2 linked regions of the Canis lupus familiaris genome follow. The protein of the gene in region 2 interacts with the protein of the main gene of each other region in a biochemical or structural test. Links are inferred from orthologs where the notes say so. Each region holds a gene or a part of one and is shown on either strand. Other genes may lie near its edges.

Evidence for each region.
Region 1: the proteins of BMPR1B (region 2) and GDF5 interact in a biophysical measurement, tested with the Homo sapiens proteins (3 studies listed by BioGRID and IntAct, with this or other methods). The link is inferred for Canis lupus familiaris from reciprocal best matches to the Homo sapiens genes BMPR1B and GDF5.

Annotation. Positions count from the first base shown.
Region 1 is NC_049245.1:24,907,189-24,911,733, forward strand, and holds the end of GDF5 (growth/differentiation factor 5), read right to left. Parts: intron 3,036-4,545; coding exon 2,161-3,035; 3' UTR 1,712-2,160; downstream 1-1,711. UniProt on the Homo sapiens protein: Growth factor involved in bone and cartilage formation. During cartilage development regulates differentiation of chondrogenic tissue through two pathways.
Region 2 is NC_049253.1:21,944,816-21,950,674, forward strand, and holds part of BMPR1B (bone morphogenetic protein receptor type-1B), read right to left. Parts: intron 4,824-5,859; coding exon 4,648-4,823; intron 798-4,647; coding exon 667-797; intron 1-666. UniProt on the Homo sapiens protein: On ligand binding, forms a receptor complex consisting of two type II and two type I transmembrane serine/threonine kinases.

The DNA.
Region 1 (4,545 bases), on a different chromosome or scaffold from region 2:
CTAGGGCAGGTTGAGGTAGGAGACAAAGCTCCTAGGTACCAAGCCAGACCACAACAGTCAATTTGGTGCCCAGGCCTTCAGCAGGAAGAGCACAGGGGCTGAGATGACAGGAAGCCCTCTGACAGGGCTCAGGCAGGGTGCCACTCCAGTCTGTCAGACTTTCCAAGAAAGTAAGGACACATAGCCCAGAAAATCAGTGGGTGTAGAAGCCAGCCCCACCTGTAACCCCTTCATCCTCTGCCTCTCTACCTTTGAGTTTCCAGCCACCCTGCTTCTACACTGCTCTCCCTGTGTCCGCAGGCCACTGGTTGGCTTCCCCAGCACTGCCTCCAGGCTCACTCTCCTCACTCACACCAGAACTCTGTCTGCTGTGGCAGCTCCTTTGTTTACTGCCAGAGCTCGCAGGGCTGCCACCAGCCAAACACAACGAAGCCTGGCCAGGGAGGGCTAGGCTCCAGGTGCAGACTGGCCCCTAGGGACAGGTAATGGCCTCCAAGCCAGGGAGGCAGCTCAAAGGTAGGCTGCCCCCTGCACTGGGTTCTTGTTTCAGATTCTGACAACCCAGGTTTCAGGCCGAGAGGGAAGGGACACAAGATCTGCCCATAGCTGGGCAGGAATCCCTACTGTTGAAACAGCTTTGGCTAGGAGCCCTGGGAATCAGAGACCCAGCTGGAGAGAGGTGGGGAAAATGTTGAGGCCCCCTGGGTGGGAAGCAGAGGCCTAGACTGCCTTCTCCTGGTCCTCCCTCTCTTCATCCTGAGTCCTTAGAACAAAAACTTAGGTGCCCACATTTCTCTACCAGAGGGCTTCGTTCCCCTCCCGAGCATTCATGCCTCATGCCCCCGCTAAGGAGTCTAGTGGATAAAGGGAAGTGGGCATTTACTCTGGGCCAAACCCCAAGCAGGAAACATTGTCAGGATATGTCTGGCATTTGTCTGTCTAAGGTTAGTGGGGAAGTTACTTATCTAATATATAGTTACGTATTTGTATAATATATAATGTAAAGAGGAGGGACTTATACTCTGTTTCTGGAGCCGGGGTGATGGTTAGGAGGTGATGGATGAGCTGGGAGAGGAGTGGTAAAGGTGCCAAACTGAAGGGTAACAGGGCCACAGACAAGATCACACAAGGAACACTGATCAGTGGCAAAAGGAAGATGCCCCAACAGGAGAGGAGCAGATCCCTGCCAGCCCAGGTTCCCCACTAAAAGGTAGAGAGCCCTCTAAATGGTGGCCATTTGACTCTGTGAGTAGGCAGGGAGGTGGGGCACAGATAGGTAGATGAAGTGGGAATGATTTTAGAGGAAATGAAATCCCCAATTTCCCTCCCATGTAGGGATCCATTTTGGAGGCAACAGTTTGACTCAGGAATGTCAAGAAGAAAACCTAAGTCTGTTGCCAGGCCCCAGAAGAGCAGATGTAGCTCCAGACCAACAGGCCTTTGGAAGGAAGGGAATGGGGTTAGAGGTAACGTTGGCCCTGCTCAGCCTGTACTCTCTGTCCCGTTTTCCTGCAGGCAACCCACCTCCCTTCCCTGGGTCCCTCATTCTTTGAGGGGTCACTGGGTCTCCTGGAGTAAACAAGAAATTTGCCACAGTTTTAGTAACAGTTTTGCTTTTTATCTCATCAATGTACATTTTAATCTAACAGTCTAACAGCCTCATACTCCTTACCCCAGCCCAAGCCCTCACCCCCTCTTGCCCACCCCCGCCCAATCAGCATCACATCTGCCCAGGGGCAGGAAATTGCCAGGCACAACGGTGATTCAAGGAGAGGGTGGCACCTGTGGCTCTTCCAAGAGGAGCCCTCCCCGGAGAGTCCAGAAGCCAAGAAAGCCCCAGGTAAGGAGAGGTTGAGGGCTGAGTCTCTTTGGAAAGCAAGGTCTCCTGGGTCTTAGTCCCATTCAAGTCTGTCTTCCTGGATCAGGGCAGCAGAAGGGCAGAAATCCTCAGACAAGGGGACTTGTGGATAGAAAGGAACCTCAAACCCAGTCCCACTCAGAAATTAAGAGCAAGGCTGTTGGAACCCCTCCTTCCACACAGGCTGTGTAGGTGCTTTTGGCTGCTGCTTCCCAACCTCTTTGCTCCTGGGAGTGTAGGGTAGGGCTCTTGTGACCGGCATCCTGGGATGTGCCCCCCAGGAAGATGGAGGGCCAGTGCTGCTACCTGCAGCCACAAGACTCCACAACCATGTCCTCATATTGCTTATAGACCACGTTGTTGGCGGAGTCAATGAAGAGGATGCTGATGGGACTCAGTCGTGTGGGCACACAGCAGGTTGGTGGTGTGGACTCAGGGTCCATGGAGTTCATCAGGGTCTGGATGACTGCGTGGTTTGTGGGCTCCAGGTGGGAGCGCAAGGGGAACTCACATAGCCCCTCACAGTGGAAGGCCTCGTATTCAAGGGGTGCAATGATCCAGTCATCCCAACCCATGTCTTTGAAGTTGACATGCAGTGCCTTCCGACTGCAGCGGGCCTTGGGGTTCTTGCTGGGCCGTTTGCCCTGGCGCGTGGCCAGTGGGGCCCGCCTTTTTCGCCGCTGGCTGAACAGGTACTCATACACAGTCTTATCATCTTGACCTGATCGGGCCTTAATCTCATTAAAGAACAGGTCCCGTTTCTTGGTGCGGCCAAATACCAGGAACAGGGCCTTCTCGTGGACCTGCCTGGCAGCCCGGTCAAAACCCAGGCCACGGAGGTCCACGGCCCGGCCCCGTTCCCAGGCCTCCAGCTCCAGGCACAGCTGGGCCGAGTTCTTAAAGTTTCGGAAGAGCTTCCAGATGTCGAACACCTCCCAGCCAGATCCGTCCAGGCCTGGCACGGAGCGCACATCCAGCAGGGCTGCCGGCTGCCGGCCGCTGGGGCAGCTGGACAGCTTCAGCTGGGCAGCCCGCCCGATGCTGGGGGCCACTGGCTTGGCCGTGTCCGAGGGCTTCTTCCGCAAGATCCGCAGCTCGGCCCCTAGCAGCCCATCCTTCTCCAGGGCACTAATGTCAAACACGTACCTCTGCTTTCTGACCACAGGACCTCGGTCATCTAGAGAAAACACCCAGAAGTCATTCCCTGCAACCTCACCAAGACAGCCAGTCCCCTCAGGGGAGGGCCATAGCTCTCTCCCCTCTGGAGACAGCTTTCTTTAACCTCTCCCCTACTCTGACAGAGGCCAAGACCCAAACCACTGAGAGCCTTTTTCAACATAGGGGAGCCTTCCTAAACAGCAGACCAAGTAGAGTTGTTTATCCGTAGATGTGGTGTGGTGATTTGAACAATTCCAGGTGTTTTGTCAATGACAATGCATGTCAGAGATGCATCAGCCTTAAAACTGCCTCTAGCTATCCCTCCCCATCTGTTATCTTATATGATATCTCCTTGGAGAGATAGGTGGGGTGGGTATTATAATTAGCTCTATTTTTCCGGAGGAGCAACCTGAGGCTCAGAGAAGTTTGGTGACTTGCCCAAGATCACCCAGCTAGGAAAAAAAGCAGAGTTGAAACTCTAGTCTAGAGCTTTTTATACCCAGTCCTGAGCTGCTCCCACTATACCTCAAGGAAGATCTTGGTGTTCTCGTTTTACAAGTGAGGCATGGAGAGGGGAAGTGACTTGTGTAAGTTAACACAGATAGTTCAAGGTAAAGCTATAATTCAATTTCCCTGGCTTCCTCGTCTAATGAGTTTGTTGTGTACAGGGCTTACCCTGCTGGGTGTATAAGTGTGTGTGTGAATGACAGTTTGTGCGTGTGTGTGCATGTGTGTATGTATGATTGGGCTTACATGTGAATATGAAAGGTTAAGTATAGTGAGTGACGTGTGTATGATTGCACTTGTGTGAATATTTGAAGGATATGTACGTATATGTGTGTATATGTAAGATGATTCTGTGTATACATGTAAGAAGGTGTGTGTTCACGTGTGTACATGTGTGTGTGATTCAGCATGTATGCATAAATATAAGGCTGTATGTGTGTGAGAAACTCTGTAGTGTGTCCGAATCAGCATGCCCTCCTTCCTAAATACCAATTTGCCATTGGGAAGCATTCATACATTGCTCTAGAAGGTGACTAATTAGGCCTTTAAACTCCCCATCTCCCCCTCTGCAAGCTCCCTTAGAGCTGGGGGGCACAAGGACTTATTTTATGAGCCCCCAAGGGGTCACAGCTTTCCCTGGCTGGGCAGGCAGCCAGGCCACCTCCCCCAACCCAGCCAGACCTGCTGCCTTCTGCTTCCTCCCACCCTGTCATTCCCCCACAGGCTAGCTCTAATGAGGAGCCTCTCCCCATCTCTGACCCCTCCCCCACCCTGCCAGCCAAAATCCCAAGACTCCCAGAACCAGAGCATAAGACCTACAAGCAATCCTAGCAATAAGTATCCATCTCCCTCTTCACACTTACAGAGAAACTGAGGCCCTGAGAGGGCAAGGGACTTACTGAGATCACACAGCAAAGCAGAGAGGGGAAAGCCAGAACAGTAACACTAGGTGAGCATAGGGAGAAGAGAGGGGAACAGATATCCTCCCAGGTTGATGAAAAAAATGATCTGCATTTAGGATA
Region 2 (5,859 bases):
AGGACTTGGTGAGTTTGCAAGCTAGGAGGATGGACGGGCAGGATGCGGAGGTGGAGATGAGACAAGAAAGGTAATCCCCTGCCCCAACTCATTTCTTCCTTCTGAACAGCCCCTTTTCAGTTTAGGTTTCACCTCTGTACCCTTAGAGCCAGGCTGAATATGGATTTCTTCAAAGCACATCCCATCATCCCTATTCACAAAGATCCATGGCACAGTCAGGCAGCTCAACTATACCCCTCTCCCTTCTATGTAAAGAAAACTGGATTCTGCAGATGCCTATCTTTTCTCTCATCGAGATGAGAGAATGTTGGATGCTGGTCTGTCATGGAGAAAATTCACGATGCTTTAAAGACACACACAGAGAAATAATATCCTTTATGCAAACGTCAGGACATCACAAATAAATGAAACAGTGTTACCTATTGTACAGGCTAAGTGGTAACCCACCCAATATACTTTAGAAGTAGCAAACTCAAATTGGAAAAAAGGAAGAGACAAATTAACATATTACACTTAGCACCATATCAACGACTGCAGGGAAGCTCCATTACCACCACCATCAAAACAAAGGAGGAGGATTACTGTAATGAATATCTGGAATCTTGGCAAAGAGCGTAAAGTCTGTTTAGAAATTGGCCATAGCCACATGGTTAGGTCAAAGCTTACCTCATCACTACTCCATCGGTTGGGGAACGAGGGACGTAGCTTTTTGATGCAAACGATCTCTCTCATGTCCTCATAAGAAGGATCACTGGGCACTAGGTCATGATAGGGAAGCTGGTATTCTTCGACTATACCTGAAAATAGGGGTTGTTTTTAAATTATTATTACTATCGATATTTTCTGTGAGGTGGAAATAAAAGTCTAATACACAAACTATTCTCAAAGAAAAGTTCTATCAGTACTCAAGCTCAGGCTAGGAAACTGCAAAATAAAGTCTTGAAAAAAAATATGCCCAAATGTCACTTAATCTAATTAAAAATATAAATAGAAAACCTGATGAAACATATTATTACAGGTTTTCAAACCTTTTTTCTAATTTCCCAAAGCTAAGTAAAACAAGTATCTCAAATTTATTTCCAATTTTATAAAACGTGTTGTATGCCAAATTTTAAAAAAAAATCTACATTAAATCTCAATGCAAATTTGGCAGACACATCCCAAACTCATACTGCATAATATGTGACTGTTTCTATTACTGCAATATGAGATTATGAATCTCATAATAAATTTGGCAGTGTATCCTACTTGAACAAAATGTGAGATTTACATTTTTTCCTGCTTAATCATAAGAATGCATCTTTCCACATTTAAAATTTTAAAATTTTACACACCTAAAAATATTAACTATGATTTTTTTAGGTGCAAGAGCTGTCTGACTTTTACCATTTTCTTCATTAAATTTTCTGTATTTCACCAAACTTTCTACAAATAATACATTATTATTAGAAAAAATAGTTTTTTTTTAAAAAAAAGATTTTATTTATTTAATCATGAGAGACACAGAGAGGCAGAGACACAGGCAGAGGGAGAAGCAGTTTCCATGCAGGGTGCCCGATGTGGGACTCGATCCCGGGACCCCAGGTCACACCCTGAGCCGAAGGCAGACGCTCAACAGCTAAGCCACACAGGCATCCCCCCCACCCCAAAAAAATAGGTATTGTTGAAAGAAAGGTTGAGATACAAGTCTATGTCATCTTAGGAAAATGGCCCTTATCATGACAAACTCCATCTCATTTTCCCTAGTATCTATTCTACCTTATTCCTTTTGTCCTTTGGAAAAGTAGCCTGCTTAGATCTTCTTTGCAACCCTATCTGATTTACTCCTCACAATAATTTTTTTTTTAATTTTTTTATTTATTCATGATAGGCACACAGTGAGAGAGAGAGAGGCAGAGACACAGGCAGAGGGAGAAGCAGGCTCCATGCACCGGGAGCCCGACATGGGACTCGATCCCGGATCTCCAGGATCGCGCCCTGGGCCAAAGGCAGGCGCCAAACCGCTGCGCCACCCAGGGATCCCTACTCCTCACAATAATTATAAGCAGCATCTGTCCTAATAGAATGCCACTCTGAACAATCTCTCTGGAGCACCTTTCTTCCCTATCCAAAATCATCTATTATAGAAATGTTATTGCTTCTTATCTGAACAAGATGATACTACCAAGTTGGCAGATTTTATCCAGCACATCATTAAATTCGCTGGGGTTTACTCTGACAAAATCTGGAGTCTATATTACACCCTTTCTTGCAAACTCAATCCCATATATAAAGGACCAGAAGGCTGAAAAGTTTCTTCAGACCATTCCCACTCACCATTGTTCTGTCTCTCATGAGACCACAGGGCATAATTATATGTATCTATGTTAATAGTTCCTTCCATTGTGTACCGATTCTATAGGAGATACTAAAGGCACAGGGCCTAACCCATGGGGGATGCTCACTTCATTTGAGTTCTTCCTCCCTTTCTAATTCTCAAGACAACAGCTCTGGAGACACCTGGAGAGCAAGGACCATGTCTAATTTATTCCTCTCATATTTTCCTCAGTGCCTACTGTTGGTGCCATTACCTGGCTAAATTGATATATCATGGTGGGGTGGGTGTATACATTACAACAGACACAGAGCCAATCACATAAAGTTCTGAATTAATCAAAATCTATCACTAAACTATAGACCTTACTTCTTTCTCCTTATTATGCATTAAGTTATCAAAATTCCCATAGTGGCTGCCATTTAATTGTTGTCTGAAACCTCAGGAATCCTTTTTTTTTTTTCCCTCGAAGTTTAGAAGATCTACATCCAGATGTAACTACTTCATCCAAAAGTACCTAGACTAGAAAGACAAGCCCAAAACTTCCAACATCTTCATAAAGGAATATGTTGGAGAATAGAATTTTGTGTATTTTGCCTTTCTGGAAAGAGAAACCACACTTGCTTGTTAGGAGCCTGGTACATACCAGGCAAGGCGGTAAGTGTACTGTACAACTTATCTTACTAAATTCTTATAAACATGTTTCTGAGACAGCATTATTATCCATGTTATCCAGATGAGAATAACCTGGTTCTGAGGGATTCACTCACTTGTCCAAGGCCATACAGTTGGTATGGGGCAGAGCTGGGACTCTAACATCTCTGACAAACACATACCAATCTCATAAGGAGATAAGGCAACACCTTAGTACCTCTCAAATCCTGTGTGTGTGTGTGTGTGTGTGTGTGTGTGTGTGTGTGTGTGTGTGTGTCTGAGGTTGGCTTGTTTTTGAGTGAAGAATCATTTCTCCTGTATTCTGACCTGCAGGCTTTCCAAATATAGGTATCTTGTGGCCCTATTTGCTTTAGGTGTTCAGGAAAACATAATCAGAAAAGTAATCTTGCACTCCACTACTCCTTCAACTGCTATACACTTATCATGAGTGTAAGTGAGCATATTATTCAAAACTAGGCTCATTCCCTCTTGACAAAACATGAAACAAGGCACAATTAGTTAATTTATATCTTGGTTAGCTCTTTTCTTCTTCATAGATGATGGAAGATTTATTCGCTATCTGGTTAGGAAACATTTCTCATGTTAACTTTCCTTTTGGAGTTCTCTCACTTTAGAGGAAATGTGTTCTATTTTAAATTAAGCTTAGAATAGGCTCAGAGTTCCCCAAGTGATTAGAAGGCATTGTGTCATTGCAGCATGATCTGAGTATAAATTCCTGTTGATTAACTGTCTCTCCTCCCTATATAAGTATGAATCTAAATATAAGTTAAGCCTCTACCAACCAAAATGAAAATTTTAAGTAAGAGCTAAGATATACTGAATGCTATTTATGTACCAGGAAGTTTTAATTCTCTTTAATCCACCTCCTTCTTAAGAATTAGAACAAAGCTGAGTAACTTGTCAGAGGTTCATGGATAATAAATGGCAGGTCCAAGAATGCAGTCGCTAAGCTTTCAGAACCTTGGGCAAGCTCAATATTTCACAAAAGTGAGTTTAAACTGGCCATGATAAACAGCAGCAGCAGCAGCAGTGTGGGTTCTAGCCAAGCACTGCCATGAGTATAACCATAAACAGGGTACTTGACGCTGAAGGCCTAAGATTCAGCTTCTCACCTAAAAACTGTTGGCATCTATTTAAAGACAGATGATGCAGCAGTAAACAAATACTATGAGCAATAATAATGCCTCTGAATATTTAATATCTTCTGATGTAGTCTTACTAGGAAATCCTTGTTTGCAAGAAAATTATCATGACCAGTGGTAATATTCTTGATGCTTTCATTTCCTTTTGAAAAAAAAAAAAAAAAAAAACACCTGATGTTTCAAACTACTTGTGAAGAAGAAATACAGAAAGTCAAGTGGAGCAGAGGGTAAAGAATGGGTATCTCACCCCACAATTCTGGCTCTATCTTAATCTGCAGAGAGGAAGCCACAGTGAGTGGGGCATCAGAGCTGGGGATAGGGCCCAGCAGGTTGGTGAGAAGCAGCCAGAAGGAAGCAAAGATAATTCTAAGTTGTTAAATACTGTTTCCTGGGAGGACTGTGATTGCATCAACAGAAATAAGGTAGAAAATAAAAGAAAATCTGATGTTGTGGACACTGATTTCTGATCAGGAAGCAAGGATCTGTAGTAGATCCCACAGTATCATGGTTACTTACCTCCGGATACACATCTCCTAGCGACCTCCCAGAGGATGAGTCCAAAACTATACATGTCGGCCATAATGTAAGACTGAAAGTGATTTCTGTTTAAGCTCTCATCCAACACTTCCGGAGGCATATAGCGTTTGGTGCCAACTCGGGTGTTGGGTGGTATGTCAACTTCATTTGTATCACTGAGGAAAAAGCAAAGCACTATAGGCAATGAAAAGGTTCAACACACGACAAATCGAAGTGATTTCCGAGCCAGGGTTTTAGGTAAAGGGAGGAAGGGATATCTTTTCAGGGAATAACATTTCCCTGCAAAATATCTCTTGCCAACAGTTACATTACGTATGCACGGGTAAAAACCCAGGGAAGAGGGCAAAGGGACTCTGCAACATACAAGGCTGCATTGACACTGGATCAATCGTAAACTCTAAATCATTGCTAGGTACCTATTAAATGTCTATGAAACACCTTCTTCCCCTTCACATTTCAATAGCTTGGCTCTTAAAACTGGCATGAGGACATGCCAAGGTGGTTTGTTTAAGATGGTATTTTTTAAATCAAGTGTTGCAGGGTTTTTTTGATGTATGAGCAAGTTCAAACAATGGGGGAAAAGAGGGCCAACAAAGAGAGGAAAATGTTTTATTTCAATAAGTAGGATCTATAACAAAGCTTTCTCTGAGCACCATTTCATCCACCACATAACATGTATTATTTAATAAGAGGACAAAGGGAATAACTGAAAATAATCCCAGCAGCTACATGAAAGTTTCAGAACATGATCCATTTATTATTCCCCATCTCCTGGGAGAATGTCCGTGACGGGAGGGCCTCAATGTGCAGTGTGGCCCCTGGGGAGCCATGCCTCTGCACAGGCAGCTGCAACCAGAGATCTGCCCAGAGATGCTGATGTAGTGGAGCTACTGTCGCTTAATAGGTTGACAATTAAACAAGATGGTGCGTGTAAAATTGCTGCCAGCACAACGTGGAGCCTCTATTGGAGGTTTCACTAGAATTACCACAAGAGAAGCTAGTGGTACTAAAAAGAGCAGTTAAGTCCCAGTTTTGATGAAGAAACTATCAAACAGAAAAGGGACAAAAAGTCATTATTAACCAAAGTTTGTGGGGAACTATGGAAGAACCTCGCTAGCTCCTGATTCCTAAGAATGTTTTTTCTTTGCATCACACTCCCTGGACTCTCAAGCATTTACATGTTATTTCCCC